2 linked regions of the Neodiprion lecontei genome follow. The protein of the gene in region 1 interacts with the protein of each later gene in a pairwise test. Links are inferred from orthologs where the notes say so. Each region holds a gene or a part of one and is shown on either strand. Other genes may lie near its edges.

What was found.
Region 2: the proteins of protein enabled (region 1) and profilin interact in binary tests that used the Drosophila melanogaster proteins (3 or more experiments, as listed by UniProt). The link is inferred for Neodiprion lecontei from reciprocal best matches to the Drosophila melanogaster genes ena and chic.

What each region holds. Positions count from the first base shown.
Region 1 is NC_060264.1:29,524,419-29,531,783, forward strand, and holds the start of protein enabled, read left to right. Parts: upstream 1-2,883; 5' UTR 2,884-3,348; coding exon 3,349-3,401; intron 3,402-3,733; coding exon 3,734-4,055; intron 4,056-4,863; coding exon 4,864-5,033; intron 5,034-6,164; coding exon 6,165-6,419; intron 6,420-7,365. UniProt on the Drosophila melanogaster protein: Functions, together with Abl, trio and fra, in a complex signaling network that regulates axon guidance at the CNS midline. Required in part for robo-mediated repulsive axon guidance. May be involved in lamellipodial dynamics.
Region 2 is NC_060261.1:30,012,977-30,020,263, reverse strand, and holds the start of profilin, read left to right. Parts: upstream 1-2,878; 5' UTR 2,879-3,061; coding exon 3,062-3,172; intron 3,173-7,287. Other genes in the region: eukaryotic initiation factor 4A-I, read left to right, coding at 1-10. UniProt on the Drosophila melanogaster protein: Binds to actin and affects the structure of the cytoskeleton. At high concentrations, profilin prevents the polymerization of actin, whereas it enhances it at low concentrations. By binding to PIP2, it may inhibit the formation of IP3 and DG.

The sequences.
Region 1 (7,365 bases):
AGTAGTTTGCTCATTTAGAGCTTAAGCGTTGAGGGAATATTCGGGGAATTCAGTTTTGTGGAATAGAATTAAATTTTTTAAAGTCTGGAATGGGGTGGGGGACAAAAGAGTCAGGTTATACGAATGTGTCTGATAAAAAATAATAATAATTATCAGCCACGTTATCGTCAGCAGCAGCAACAGCAGCAGAAGTTGTTTACTTTCTAACGATATCTAGAAAATGTTAACCGTCACCGTGGGGTTAGAGAGAATTCCAAGGAATTTCATGCACTCGTCGTGAGCTTGTTCAATCCAGAGTCCTAATCTCGAGTCCTAAGTCGAGTGGCCGGGCGTTAGAGTTGCAACCCAATGGCAAGGAGAGAAGGTGTACGCTAAGAGAAATTTTCTTATTCCGGTTACCGCTCAGTCCTTGACTATTTTCATTTTTTACCACAATCGAAAAATATAGTTCCAGGTAGAAAATGAAAATTAGTTTTCTAGTATCCGTTGCTATTCTTTCTCATTACGATCGCTGTTGCTAGATTTTCTTGCAACTGTTGCGAAAATTTAACGCTCGTGCAACGATAAATTGACGTTAAAGCCTTGTTCAACTTAAAAAAGTAGAGTAAACCTCGGAAACTGATTTTGCGTTGCAATAACCAAAAAAGGATCGACGATAGCGCAAAATGTTTAGGCGTACCTCGTTTTTCGTAATTCCAACGATATTCAAACAGTTTTTTTTTAACGATACCGGTTTTACTGAATTTCTCTAGTTACTGTAACAAATGAAATTATTCTCAGTGTAGAGTTTCACGGTTATAGGTATAAAGAAGCAAGGAACCGTGCCTTGCACCATGCACACCATCTAGATCCGGGTATTCGCGTAACGCGGAAGAAGGATGCGAGAAGTTGAAACGTGATAGCGATCCGTCGTCGTCTCGTGATCTGCAAGTATAAACCTGAGAATCACGCTCTTGTTTTGCATTCTGTTAAGCTGCGGTACGCGGAACCTCCGGACGATGGTTTCTCCGGATGACCGGAAGTGTGGAGAGAAAACCCTTCCCGCCGATCGATTTCCAAAGCACCGATTACGATTGTCGGCATCGCGATCAACCTCCGTTAATCAGTAATCGCGTTAATCGTCCGTGTAATTGAGAAGGTCATCGGCGACTATTCATGTTTCTTCGCTGCAGGCACACGTGTCTGACTTTCGTTTCACTCGGTCGATAATGTCGGATGCTATCAAATGTGGCAATTGTACCAAGTCAATGTTACGAGTTTGGGAATCTAGTGGTGTGGTGTAGATTAAAGATCATCCATTCGTATTTGCAGCAACAGTTTCAAGCGGTAACAGGAACAACGCATTGTTTTTCTGCACCATTCCTACAGCAATGATGATGGGATTTTTTTAATACTCCTTTTCGGATGTTTTCGCGAATCTGCCAGCTATGAAGCGAGAATGGTTAAAAATACCCTGGAATATGTGTCACGTAGGATAGGAAATGCGCGCACGATTGTTGTTATCAGGAGGAATGTGTACTGCAGCCGGAAGTGGTCGGCAACATCCTGCAGTGAAACATTTCATCCGGAGACTTCAGTCTGAACAATCAAGTTGTCCGAAGCGTTGGACGTTACGGGATCACCGCAGATCATAACGTCTTGAAGGACCAGAACCGGGTTCGCGAATATCTGTCGGAAGTTGGAAAGACATAACGTGATCGGTGAACTTCTTTCTCCTTGGGATTCGTGACAGTGTTTCATTTGTGTAGTGCAGAAAGTTTTTTTTTTAACGACTTCGGTATTAACCCGAGATACGGTTTCTTATGATTTTTATCGAAAGCTGAAAAATATTAGACTGTCAAGGAGAAGCGGAACGGTGGTAAAAGATATGCAGTTCGCTCGATTGAATTTCATTCCTAGTATCCTACGTAACCGTCATGGTGGCGATGTATTTACGATACTCGACATATCGGCTGATATATTATCAGATGTTATGTAACGATATTCTTCAATAAATTTTAGTTTGTTCAACAACGGCGTAACTCTTCTACTGCGATTTATATACTTCATTTCACAATACTCAAGGGCAAAAAAGTTTCTTCGTAGAAACCATTTTTTATCACCCTTGTTCCAAGGAGAATCGAATCCGCAACCCGAGGAGAAAAAAGGTTAAGGGATTCAGGGGACGAGTATGAGTTGACTTTGACGTATGGGGATAAAATGTATATATACGTGTTCAGTCGTGTGGAATAAAGAACATTTTTTATCGAAATTATTCGTCCGAGTTGCGATGTCGGTCCGATTTCAATTGCCAGGACTACTAACTTTTTAAGAGACAAGAGAACGTCGAAAATATACCGTCGCCAAAGATATTTCAACTTTATTTGTAAAGTTATTTCTGAAAGAAGATCACATCGTTAGCGAATGAAATTAGATGAAAAAAAAAATCGAAATCAAACCAATACTATCAGGTACTCGTTTAACCGCAATGAATCATTCTGAGCGAATTTCATCCCAAAAATTTATCAAACTCCTCGTAGATTTCAGGAATAGACTTTGACAGTCGTTCGTTTTGCTGGAAATCAATTCTGTATCTAATCGAAAAAAAAATTCCTTAAAATTTTTTTTTCCACTTTACCTCAACTTTGCCGATGTCTTACGATATTTAAACAATGAATTGTGGTTAGGAAAACTGAATCGAGCCTCTTCTCCGATCCTTAAACAATACCTAGATATTTTTTGTTGCGATTTTTAGAACAAATCGTCGAAGCAGGATATCGCTTTTTTGGAACTGGAAAACCGTTATTCGATTCTGCCGCGGTGTGACGAATTAGGGTTAACGTGTAATTTTACACCGCAAGGACGAGGCAATTATTTACCGGAAAAAGTTGTTCGTTTTTCAGTGATGTATCGCTGAAAAGAAGTTTGAGAATGCTCGAACACTGCTCATTATCGTCGATGATAAAACTTTCCGGGTAGCGGTGTGAAAAAGGGTGCTCACCACGAAACAACGAGGGCAACATGCTGCAGACGTAATTGAATCCCCGCGTTTTCCCCGTTTCGCAAAAGTCAACCGATACCCCGGAGGCACAGCAGAGGCAACACCGTAAAGCGAATCCTTGAAAGACTCGCGCAGTGAGGTGTCACGAAAATGGCATCGTTTACCTGCAAAGCTGGCGGGGAGCTTGCGGCGATGAAGTAATCGTCTTAGCCGGCTTCCTCCTTCGGACAGTGTTGTAAAAATAAACAAGGTGACAGGGTGACTTCCTCTGTCCTTGGCTCGGGCCAACTCCTAACGGTACCCCGGAACAAGGGTAAAGTACAACCCAAGGACGACACGTACCCTTCATCGGCAAGACCATCGCCGACATGACAACCGCTAATCACAAACGTTGGTCCGACTGGAATACCTACTGGGCATGGTATTGAATGCTAACTAATTCCATTCGCTTCCAAGCCGTTTGTTACCGTCTGTTCCATTTCTGTTTTCGGCTCGCCCCTAAGCCAACGCACACGTGGCAGCGTCTCTAATGACGAATAACAATGATCTCTTACCACTTGGCGAGTATGGTGGATCTTTGCATCGAATCTCACTTCCGAAACACGCGATGTTCCTACGTCATATTACCGAATCCGTGTCACAATGTCGATGAATCCATTATTGTTCCATTTATCGTTTATCGACATACCGACTTCGTTCTGGTACTTGGTGTGTACCGTACTTAACGAAACAATGTCATTATCCATTTCGCAGTGAGGTAAGCATATCATCAGCACGGGCGTCGGTGATGGTGTACGACGACGTGAACAAGAAATGGGTGCCGAGCGGAAGTTCGTCCGGCTTATCGAAGGTGCAGCTGTACCATCACCAGGTGAACAACACCTTCAGAGTGGTCGGTCGGAAGCTCCAGGACCATGAGATAGTGATAAACTGCGCTATCCTCAAAGGACTGAAGTACAATCAGGCTACGGTTACGTTTCACCAATGGCGGGACAACAAACAAGTTTACGGGCTGAACTTCTCGAGTAAAGATGACGCCGACGCTTTCGCCAAGGCCATGCTGCAGGCCCTCGACGTAAGTGTTGTGTATACTTTTTATTTCCCTCTTTCTGTCTCTTCGCCGAGTCGAAATTCTTTCTTTTATCAACCATTCCCGTCTTGGAACTATGCACCTTGGAGAAAGGTCCCCGTATCTTTTCACTTCTTGTATTATATATTACACTTGTTTACCCTGCGGAGATGATATGCGGACGTCAAAAATGGGGCGGCTTTCTTACCTTTATACGTATACTATCTTCGATATACTTTACACAGCTGTACCTGGAGAGATACGGATATGTATTGAATTACTTCATTGTCAGGCTGGTCGCACACGAAATCAACCGGACGCTTGCGTGGGAGAAAGAAAAGAAGATAAAGAGAAAGAAAGAGAGGGAGAGAGAGAGAGAGAAGGCAACGTGCAGAGTGCATCGAGCCACATGCCGTGTAATTGGATAACTTCTCCCGGCCACACGAATATTATATCCGATGCAAAAAATTACGTCAACGCGTCAGCCTTCGCTTTTTCACTCCAATAATTCACAAACGAGATTCAACTCGGTTATTAAGACCATTTACCAAAACCCTGACTCGAATATATCAGTCGCTCCATTTCCCGAATCTGACTCACTGCGTGAGGTTATGCAGTTTTTTTTTCCTCCTTACCTTTCGTTACAGATCAACGACGATTATCCAATAACCGTGACAATTGGCAGTGTCTATCAATTTAGAAACCTTTAACTTTATAATGAAGTAAATTGAGCTCGCGGCGTATTATGATACATCAGTAGCCATTGAAAGATCGAACTTTAACCCGTACTAATCCGTCTGAATTTTCATCCCAGGTCCTCAGCAACGGCAGCAATATCTCGAGGAGTTTGGGTCCGGCAGTCGCTTCCACAGCACCGGCGAATTACCAGCAACAGCAACAGTCCCAACAACAACAACAACAGCAACAACAACAGCAACAGCCTCTTGGTATCACCCAGCAGTACGAAGAGGACATGGGATACAGGTCAGTCCCTAGATTCGTTTTTCTTATCCAATTTTACTTGATTTTTTTTTTTGCGGTTTTACCTTTCACCTCGATTCACGTTCTGGGTTCCATTTCTCGAGTGCTCTCTTTGTCCCCGATGTTTTCATTTCTGTCCAATACGTGACGGGAGTATGTTATCTGCAATAATATGGTAAACAGGATAAGACGACGATTACGGCGTTTCAGGACGATTCGAGAACCCGAATAGCGGCACTTTGCCAACGATTATATGTAAATGTTCCTGCAAGGATCCATCGACTCAGATTTCTGAAGAGGACTAATAGACCCTGACTATTCTTAAACTCACAGTGTACATACCTGCTCCGTCTCTTTCATTCTTGTCACTATATAATTTATGACTGGTATAATATTAGTAGAACCATATTATTAGAAATACCGAACATGAGGTAAGGAGGCTCTTTGGGTGCTAATTAGCTGCTAATTACGTGCTATTTTGAAAAATGCGATGCATAATTTTACTCGAATGATACTTCGGTTATATTGTACATTGCTTTGACGGGATTCTCCGAAATAAATTGAATAAGGAAAAATTTACGGCATTGTTTAGACCGCAGGTGCAATTCCAAAGTCCCTGAACTCTGCAGGACATATGCTCCGTGCAATCAGGCCGCCTGGAAACTTTGATCGAGTTACTCATTATTCCAACTGACTAAATGACACCTGGTAATTGAATAAATCACTCCGTGTCGCCTGCGAACAAGAGGATAACTGAGTATAAATCGCGACAATTAAGTTACTGCGTATTGAATTAACGAATTAATTTAACGAAACAGTTGGATAGATAAAGATAATATATCTACTGCGAAGAAGTGACTTAATAGCAGCGATGACAAGTGTCTATAAATAGATGGATAACCGAATCAATGCAGGATAAGGAGACAACTCACGATCAACTGTATCTTGTATGCTCAGTCAAGATAACAACTGACAAAGTACAATCCAGATAACCGAAATGACTGTAGAAATAACTTCATCGATGTAGAAACTACTGAGAATGAGTTACCAACCGTTTGAATGCCTCAATGATCCCATGCAAATAGCAGGTACCTACTTATCGTCACTGGTCAATGATGTGTTGGGTGCTTCCAGTCAGAGTCAGAGTCAAAGCCAAAGCCAGGCCCAAAGCGGATCTGGTCCCGTTCAGGGGGGCCTGGGGATGGTAGGAAGCATAGGGAGCGTAGGGAGCGTGTCGAGAGTTTCCTTGTCCCTGGGGCACCTCGGTGGAAGCCCTGCCCCCCCATCGGCAACCGCCGCTCCGATAGCGAGCGGCATCACAACCGTCATTCAGGTCGGGGGTGGAGTTGCGAGTCGGGGATCACCGGCTGATCGCGAGAACGTCATGAGGTGACTTACGACTGCCGGATATCATTGTCTCTGCTTACATCCATGTTATAGATATGCGGTATAACATGTAAAGCCGGTGCTGGAAATAATATTTCTCAAATAACATTGTCACGTTACTCAAATACCGCTGACCTTTCAACTCACACTTCGCTTTTCTTTGTTTCTTTATCTGTTTATTTGGATTTACGAATCTTGTCACTTTTTTTTTCCGTACTGGTGAATTATCACTCGCATCTTATCGATCGGAAAAATTCTAGAATTTTGAGTACCCACTCGGGTGGGCGGACATACGTTTTGGAAAATCAAATGGCCTTTAGGTAGAGAAAAAACGAAATTTCGGAGTGATCTGAGTATTCCTCAAGTTGATATAAAAAATTATCAACTGCTACAACTATTGTTATTCGTCAAGTGATTTCACAAAATTGATGATCCTCGTTCAGTTAGAGCGATTGGGAATAGATCGAAGATCCAAGTGAAGAGGTTCTCACCAATAACGATACAGCGCGCATGTTCTTCAGCGTTGGTGCCCTGAATAATACAATGACAAATCATCAATGCGATGTGATCGCTTGATCAGTTTTAGAGATTATGAATTAATTGTAGTTATATGTCTTTCCGCTATGCATAATGTAGTTATAAAATCTTTTGAATAACAAAATATATTTATAATAAGGAAATGAAAAATTGGATTGTAGCGATCGTCACAGCGGGCGACTCTACAACCTTAACCTACATCGAAATTATATTTCATTTTGCCTCTATGCATATACGCCAGTTAATACGGACTGAACTGGTTCTACTATACTACCCACTAATATCAATAATGTTTCAAATTTTACTAGCATCCTTTCTAGGTAGCTGGTTTCTAGAGGTATAACCAAATATCCTAATTTTTCTAATCATGTTAGTCTAGCTGGCTGACTAATACGCTTTGCTCTAACCTCAA
Region 2 (7,287 bases), on another chromosome or scaffold:
TTTGATCTAAAAAGAACAAAATCCGACTAATTATTGGCTATAATCAATAATAATTCATTATAATACAAATAAAAAGTGGCAAAATAAGAGCTCTCAACCTTGATCTCTCTGATGGTGTGAGTATTCAGAAGCGAGTGCTTGTCTACCTGTTCATTACGGGATTTCGAGCGACTTTACATATACATAATATTGATATTTATACATTGTACGGTTTGCCGGCATTGAAAAAATAATCAATTGCAAGTAATAATAATAATAATATTGATTTAAAAAAAGAAAGAAAGAAAGTGAATTAAAAGGAGAAGAGGGATTCTGTACGCGCGCGCGCATCCGACATCCCGGCATCTCGCGATTTTTACTTTAGGGTCTGAGATAAAGTCCAATAAATAATATTCAACGTTTGTTATCTGTAATAATTGTAGAATCGTTCTTCTATATCTAGAATAGCTCTGCCAATAACTTGTGTTCTTTAACCTATTATTGGTGAGTGAATAATAATATATAAAATAATTGTTGTTTGATTTTTTTTTTCTTTTGTTTTTATTTTCTCTTACATTCTGATTCTATTATATGCGTTAAAAAAAAAAAAAAAAAAGAAACTTTCAACCTGCGCGCGTGATCTGCTTAACAGTGAATTGTTCTTCACTTAATTTTTATCATTGTTATAAATTTATTTCGAATAGTATCGTGAAAGGTTACCTAATTCTACACTTGTAAACTTTAAGGATATTGAATATTAGGTGTTCACAGTAATCGCTAAATTAATCGTTCTCGCAGTTATCAACGCTGAAGTAAAATTTTAGAGCATTCAATTTTACATAGGCCAAAAATATTTTGTTCGCTATTGTCGTTGGTCCTGCTCTTGTCACAAAGTGTTTTCACTGTATTTGTTGGAGTGAGATATTTGACGAAATGTTCCCTACCTCCGAAAACCGATTTTTTTCCAATGCTACCCCCATAAATCGATTCCTTCTAATTTTTCCGCTCTTCGTCTCTTCTGTCAAGCGATTCACTCGCTGCAATTGGGACGGCAGTTTATATTACTGTAAAATGATATCTTCCTATCACTACGTCATTTCAATGAACCTGCTACCGCGACTCCGACTTGTTTGTCTGGGCAGAGGTTTAGTTGGGTATTGGAAAGGCTATTTTAATCACAAACGCTGCAGAAGGAGAACTTTTTTTTTGAGAATGCTTAGAATCGTATATGAATTTTTTGTATAATTCTATCTATATTAGCAATACGATATTTCAAATAAAGTACAATAAATACTTTAATCTGAATCTTTATTACGTTTACGGCAATTTTCTCATTTCTTATTTTATGTCGTGGCTGTTCCAATAATACCATGATGAAACCCTGAATGGACAAACTGAAACTGCTGGGAATTTTTATTATATTACTCTACGATTTGTTACATATTACTATAAAACGCAAGAAGAAAACAAATTTCACAAATATTATTAACTGTATTTCCAGGCGGTTTTGGACAGTCCACCAGCGGAGAGATATTTTTGGAAATAAAGACCAAATTTCCAAATCAATATACTATTTATATTAAACTTTATTGTATTTGATACCTCCTAAACTTCCGCCCTCCATACAGATATCACACACTAATTTCTGTACATTTCAAATGAACTTATATCGCGTCATTTTATTTTTCTATTATCAATTATGTTATATACAGTTTCTCTTATATTTGTACAAATTTAATTTTTTGTTCTTTGCTTGGTTAGATCAAGTTTTACCTTATCTCCTGACAATGTGTAAAAAAATTCTGCAGATCGTAATTATTTTATATTTTGTCAATAAAGTTTTGTGCATATTCCTACATACTATATTCAATTCATTTTTCCTTTTTTCATTCTTGCGTAATATTTCTTTCATAGTATTTTCCTTTAGGAAAAAAGATTTAGAAATAAGTAAAACTGGCAGTCATTTCGATCTGATGTAAGCTACAGACTGCCTAAAACCGCCAACACTTGTTTGTCAATTTGCAGGTCGCGTTCTACTATATTGTACTAAATTAGTGAATCATGTTGTTACAGTCAAGTTCAGAAATCATTTGCTTACTATCTGCAGGTTCGTCCAAGATGAATTGTTTCATTAATTTATCAGGAGATAGATTGCAAAACACACGGAGTAAAACTAGCATGCGTAACTTCTGATTTTTGTTTGAATCATATGGGTTGTAATTGAATGGAATTTAAATAAAATCGATACCGAATTCTAAAAGGTGTACAAATTGAATTCTATCAATTGGAGGATTGAATTCAACTGCGACTACACTCGGCGATCTTTCACGGGACCATCGGTCATGGTGATGATCTAAGCGTAAGTTACGGATAGTAAAAAAACTCAATTGACTGATCGGGGTCGTTCTATTTTTGGAAATTTTCTAAAATGATCGACCATCGTTGAAGAGAGCGACGTGTCCGACGGATCAGTTAGTCTACAGGAGCGCTCGGTTTTTAAAGAATGGTACGTACAAATAACTTCCCTTCTGAGAAAGTCGATTTCATACGGCTATTCCGTAACATAAACGAGGCTTAACGAAACTGATGCGCCACCTGGCGTGTAGACGCGACGTGTCATGCCTGGAGGGAAGTAAGTCCGCGCAAAAAATCTAGTCCCCGGTATCGAACGTTAGGATATGAAAACCGTCCTTACAGGTGTGAATTGGTCACGAAGAGAAGCGATTTTTATACATCGATACGATAATCCAACCCCCGTGTCAGCAAATCCCGAATTGTACGGGCAAAAATCGAGGGTGAAACGAGCCGGCGGCATTGTGCTGCGGCCGCGTATGAATACAGATGTAAAAAGTACGCCGTTGGGGGACAAGGGCGTGAACGTGCGTGTGTGCGCGCATCCGAGTAAAGTGTGAGTCAGAAAGCCGCGTATCGCGACAAAGCTAGGGGAGGCCGTAGTCCGACTGCAAGGTCTGTACCGCACCAGCCAACGACAGAGTAGTCGAAGTTGAGTTTGAGTCAGTGACGGGTTGTGTCTCTCTAGTGACGTAGCGAATAGTTTTCTTTCCCCCCGTTGTGTTCAAAAATGAGCTGGCAGGATTACGTTGACAAGCAATTGCTCGCTTCGAGATGTGTTACGAAAGCAGCTATAGCTGGACACGATGGAAATCTATGGGCGAAATCGGAAGGTTTTGAAGTGAGTACAAAATTAATCCATCACATCGTTACCGCTCGTTGTCTCTCTCTCGCTCTCTCTCGTTTTTTTTTCTCTTTTCTATCTCCCTCTTTCCTTCTCTTTCTCTCCACAACCGCTGCATGATCATAGCCTGCGTGCGTGTACACGACTTTTTACTATACTCTAATAACACACGCTAATATTTACTGCCGCCGCTGGTACATCTGCGTCTTATATCCTTTGGGGTTAGTCCGTACAACAGAACTAAAATGATCAGGAATAAAAAATCCCGTTCCTTCTCGACGTTTCCAATTGATTTTCATTCAATCCCATCCCGGCTATCCCGAAGGCAGACAGTTTTATTCAAATTATTCCTACATTCTTGATGAAGTAGTCACAATCGATCCGTCGCGCCTTTAACCGTGTGCGAAAGAGAAATGAAACGATCCACGATTTACTGAGGTATTTTCAAGTTATCCTCGATACATCGGAACAAAGGGTGTGGACTCGGTTCTACCAATTTATATTTTCGTTAGTAACGATGTTGCCTGAGGTTACGATTTCGCCAGATAGTTATCCGTGCCTATCCTCTACATCTCAGTTTCCTAATCGACCGTTAACCGAACGCTTTTAAGTGAAAGCCCAAGTCGTGTTCCTCGGCCGAATCGTCCTCAGAGTCAGCCGACTGCTGCTGCACTTTCCCGTAACCGAATGTCAAAATGGCGACCGCCGGCTACGTGGGATTTGTGCACGGGCGAAAGCGCGAATTATCGTTTATACCTAAAGCCGTTTCAGCAATCGATCGACGTTAATTATCATTCCATTTTTTCGTTTCATTTTCAAACGTTATTAATCAACAGGAATATTTATTCATTAAAAACTTCCCAATTTCTGGTAATCCATACCTGGTGTACGTGTTCTGTAACGCATAGTTCTTTGTATACCAGCAAATTCCTTAGATCGATCGTTCTTCGATTCACTACTGTTATAATTACTTCCAAACATGTTAAATAATCAAATCACCGTGGTAAAGCGAGTGCCTGTGCACGGCACGTGGATTATTTTCCACCACGATGATGCTGCATGGCCATGTGAATAGCATACGTGATCGAGAAGACAAGATTCGAAATAAACGTTAGGTTGGTATTTTTCTCTCTTTTTATTCCACGTTTTATTTCAACGAAAAAACCTGCCACCCTTGCGGCAGCCAAAGTCATTCCCTTTCATGTCTTTTTACCTTTTGTTTCTCTTTCTTTTTCAAATATGCATCCACCCAGGTCGCAGGATAACGTCGACTCCCGATTTCCCGCATGGCGACAGTCGGGGGGCGCCTTGAGCACCGGCCGGCCGGTTGGCTCGACGGCACTGTAGTCGGTTGGCTAGGCTCCCGGAGCTAGTGAGCGGGATGCCAGACAAGAGATTAGGGCGACTGACTGTGTGATTCATACAACACGGTCACGACTGCACACCACTCGTCGCTCGGGTGACTCATTTTCCAGGCAGCTTACCCAGTTACCCCGGTCCTCGTATTATCACTTTCCAAGTATTTTCCGTATCGCGAAGACTTTACTCGAAATCAAAATTGTATGTTACTGGAATATTCCCCTTTTGAGTTACAGACACTCAATTTATTATCCAACCTTGAACGTGTAGTTCGGGAAAAATTATGTGGAAAATGGGCGCATCGGTTTCCAAGCCATTAAAGCAACAAACATTTCGTGTAGACACTCGTAATTTTTTTAACTACCGGCATTCTAGATCTGCCGGTGACCGTTACGATCAACAAGTAGGAAATTATCATTATTCTCTGCAGTGAAACAATTTTTCTTATCGATCATTTATCACTCTTGCGCGGTATACGTACCTATATGTATGTATATATTACCGACTGTACAGGTGCAATCTCAGACTGCGCGAACAATGAGATCGTTTGACTAACTGTCCTTGAACCGTATATCAGAAAACGAACTATTGTACAAAGCTGAGACTGGGATAAATTTAAAACTAAGGCGATTACGTGTACAGGTATGTCACATTTTGGTGTCATGCGCAAAAAGTAAGAAATAATATTAAAAAAATTGAACAGCATGCGCATAATTATAATTATTTTATATGTGAGGTATATTAACGTACTTGCTTTTGTCTTTGCCAAATTACATGGAGAGGACAAAAAGCTATCAATGTTGAAAAATCGCGGAAGGATAGGGACCTGGGCGGTTTTCCTCTTTCAGCGAATAGTAACAACATTGAGGAATTAAGATTACATACTTTCGCCGTATCTGTTTGATGATAAGAGAAAATAATTTAGCGCACACTTTTTTATCTGCGAAATCCGCGTCCATTAAACTGAGTATGTGTTTGTTCGATACGTTCTGCGAGGCACGTTCATGATTATTTCTACATAATTGTCTGTTAATCAGATGATTGAAAAGATTGCATTATATTTTTGAAGTTCTTTTACTACTCCATCCGCATTGAACGCGAATGCTTCTATAAAACCGATGGTAATCTTTGCAATGTATGTATCCTGCATGCATTAATTGAAGTGGTTTCCATGAGTTGTACGAAATAGGATAAAAAGATGGAACCGAATCCAATCGGCATCGTAAACGCGAAAGAAAAAACTCAGCGACTAACATCATATTGAAGATAAGAGTATAAGCGGTGGATGAGAGGATAAGGAACGTATGACGTACGTATGAAGGCGTAGAAATCGCCGAGGCTGAGTGACGAACGATACATCCTAACAGTCATTGCATATTTTGGTATATAATGCGCGTGTGACGCTACGCGCCTAACGACTCTGACAGTGAGATCACTTGGAAAAATGTGTACAAATTAGCTGTTCAGGTATGCCTTTTGGGTATTCGTGACTGACGTCACCTTATACCTACTAACGAGAAAGTAACAACGGTTCTTTGAAAGTGATAAATTATTCACCCGCGCGCGCCCCACACCGTGATGTTATACATGACGGAAAGTAAGTTGCGAGATTCCTGATGTCAGGTGGAAAAAAAAAACGACAAATCAAAAATATGAATCGAAAGAGACAATTGGTATGAAATTCTTTTTTCTTATCCCTTTTTTTGTTTCAAACACCTATTCGCTCACGTATTTTAATTCGTATGTTAATTAATCCACATTCCCTTTGTAATGTTTTTCTATTTACGGGACGAGGAAATTTTTTTTTTCGCGCAAGTTGCGGATTAAGAAGAGACTGTATCTAAAATTAGTACCATATGTAAAAATCTTACAGTTGATAAAAGTGAAGGAACTTAACTTTGTTGCAAATAGAGGGGTACCTGCGATCATTTCCGCTGGGACTGAATTTTGTTGCCTGGTGATGGCATTGATGAACCACTCGCCTGATAAATTGACAAAGACGAAAATTACGTTAAATCGGGCCTGTTATTCAAAAATTACAAATTAAAATTGACCTCTGTGATATTCGGTTCGCTGCTTCTCGCGATTCGAAGTTAGATTCGGGTGTGGGGAGTGGGGTGAAAAATACTCTGTATGCTTATTAGAAGGTGGGATGACCTATACCTAACTGTAACAGCTGATGAGCGTTCCGAGCTGACATTAATAAGCCGTATTCATATATACACGTGGAATAGGTTGTATCGCGCACCGTTGACAGATGTTACCGCACCATTATAATTCTGGCCAGATTTTTCATGGCAATCGAGAATGAAAACAAAACGCACGGTTCCCTCCTCGTATCAGTTCGAAACAGCTCTTCCTCTTCCTCTTCCTCTGAGTAATCGATTAATGCCGGCCTGTCTACCGTCTTCCAGTCAAGGCCAGCGGCTTACAGGGTCGAAATACACGCTGATAGTATAACAAGCGTAAATTATTACGTATAGGTATAGATGCTGCTCGGACGGCGGTCGGTTGTGGACTGATTTGTCAGACTGCTTTGACTAGATTACGATAGTTGGTGGTTCCGTTTGGCTCGTTGCATTATGTGCGCATACGCACATACCTATAACGTACGAAAAAATATTGCAGATTTATCGGCCGACAAGTTGCCAGCACCGTTATAACCAAGTCCAAACAAATATTGAACCACGCGATAATCGCTTTGATCATATGCCATTTTTCAATCTTTAGTTTGTAATTATTGTACTTAAATT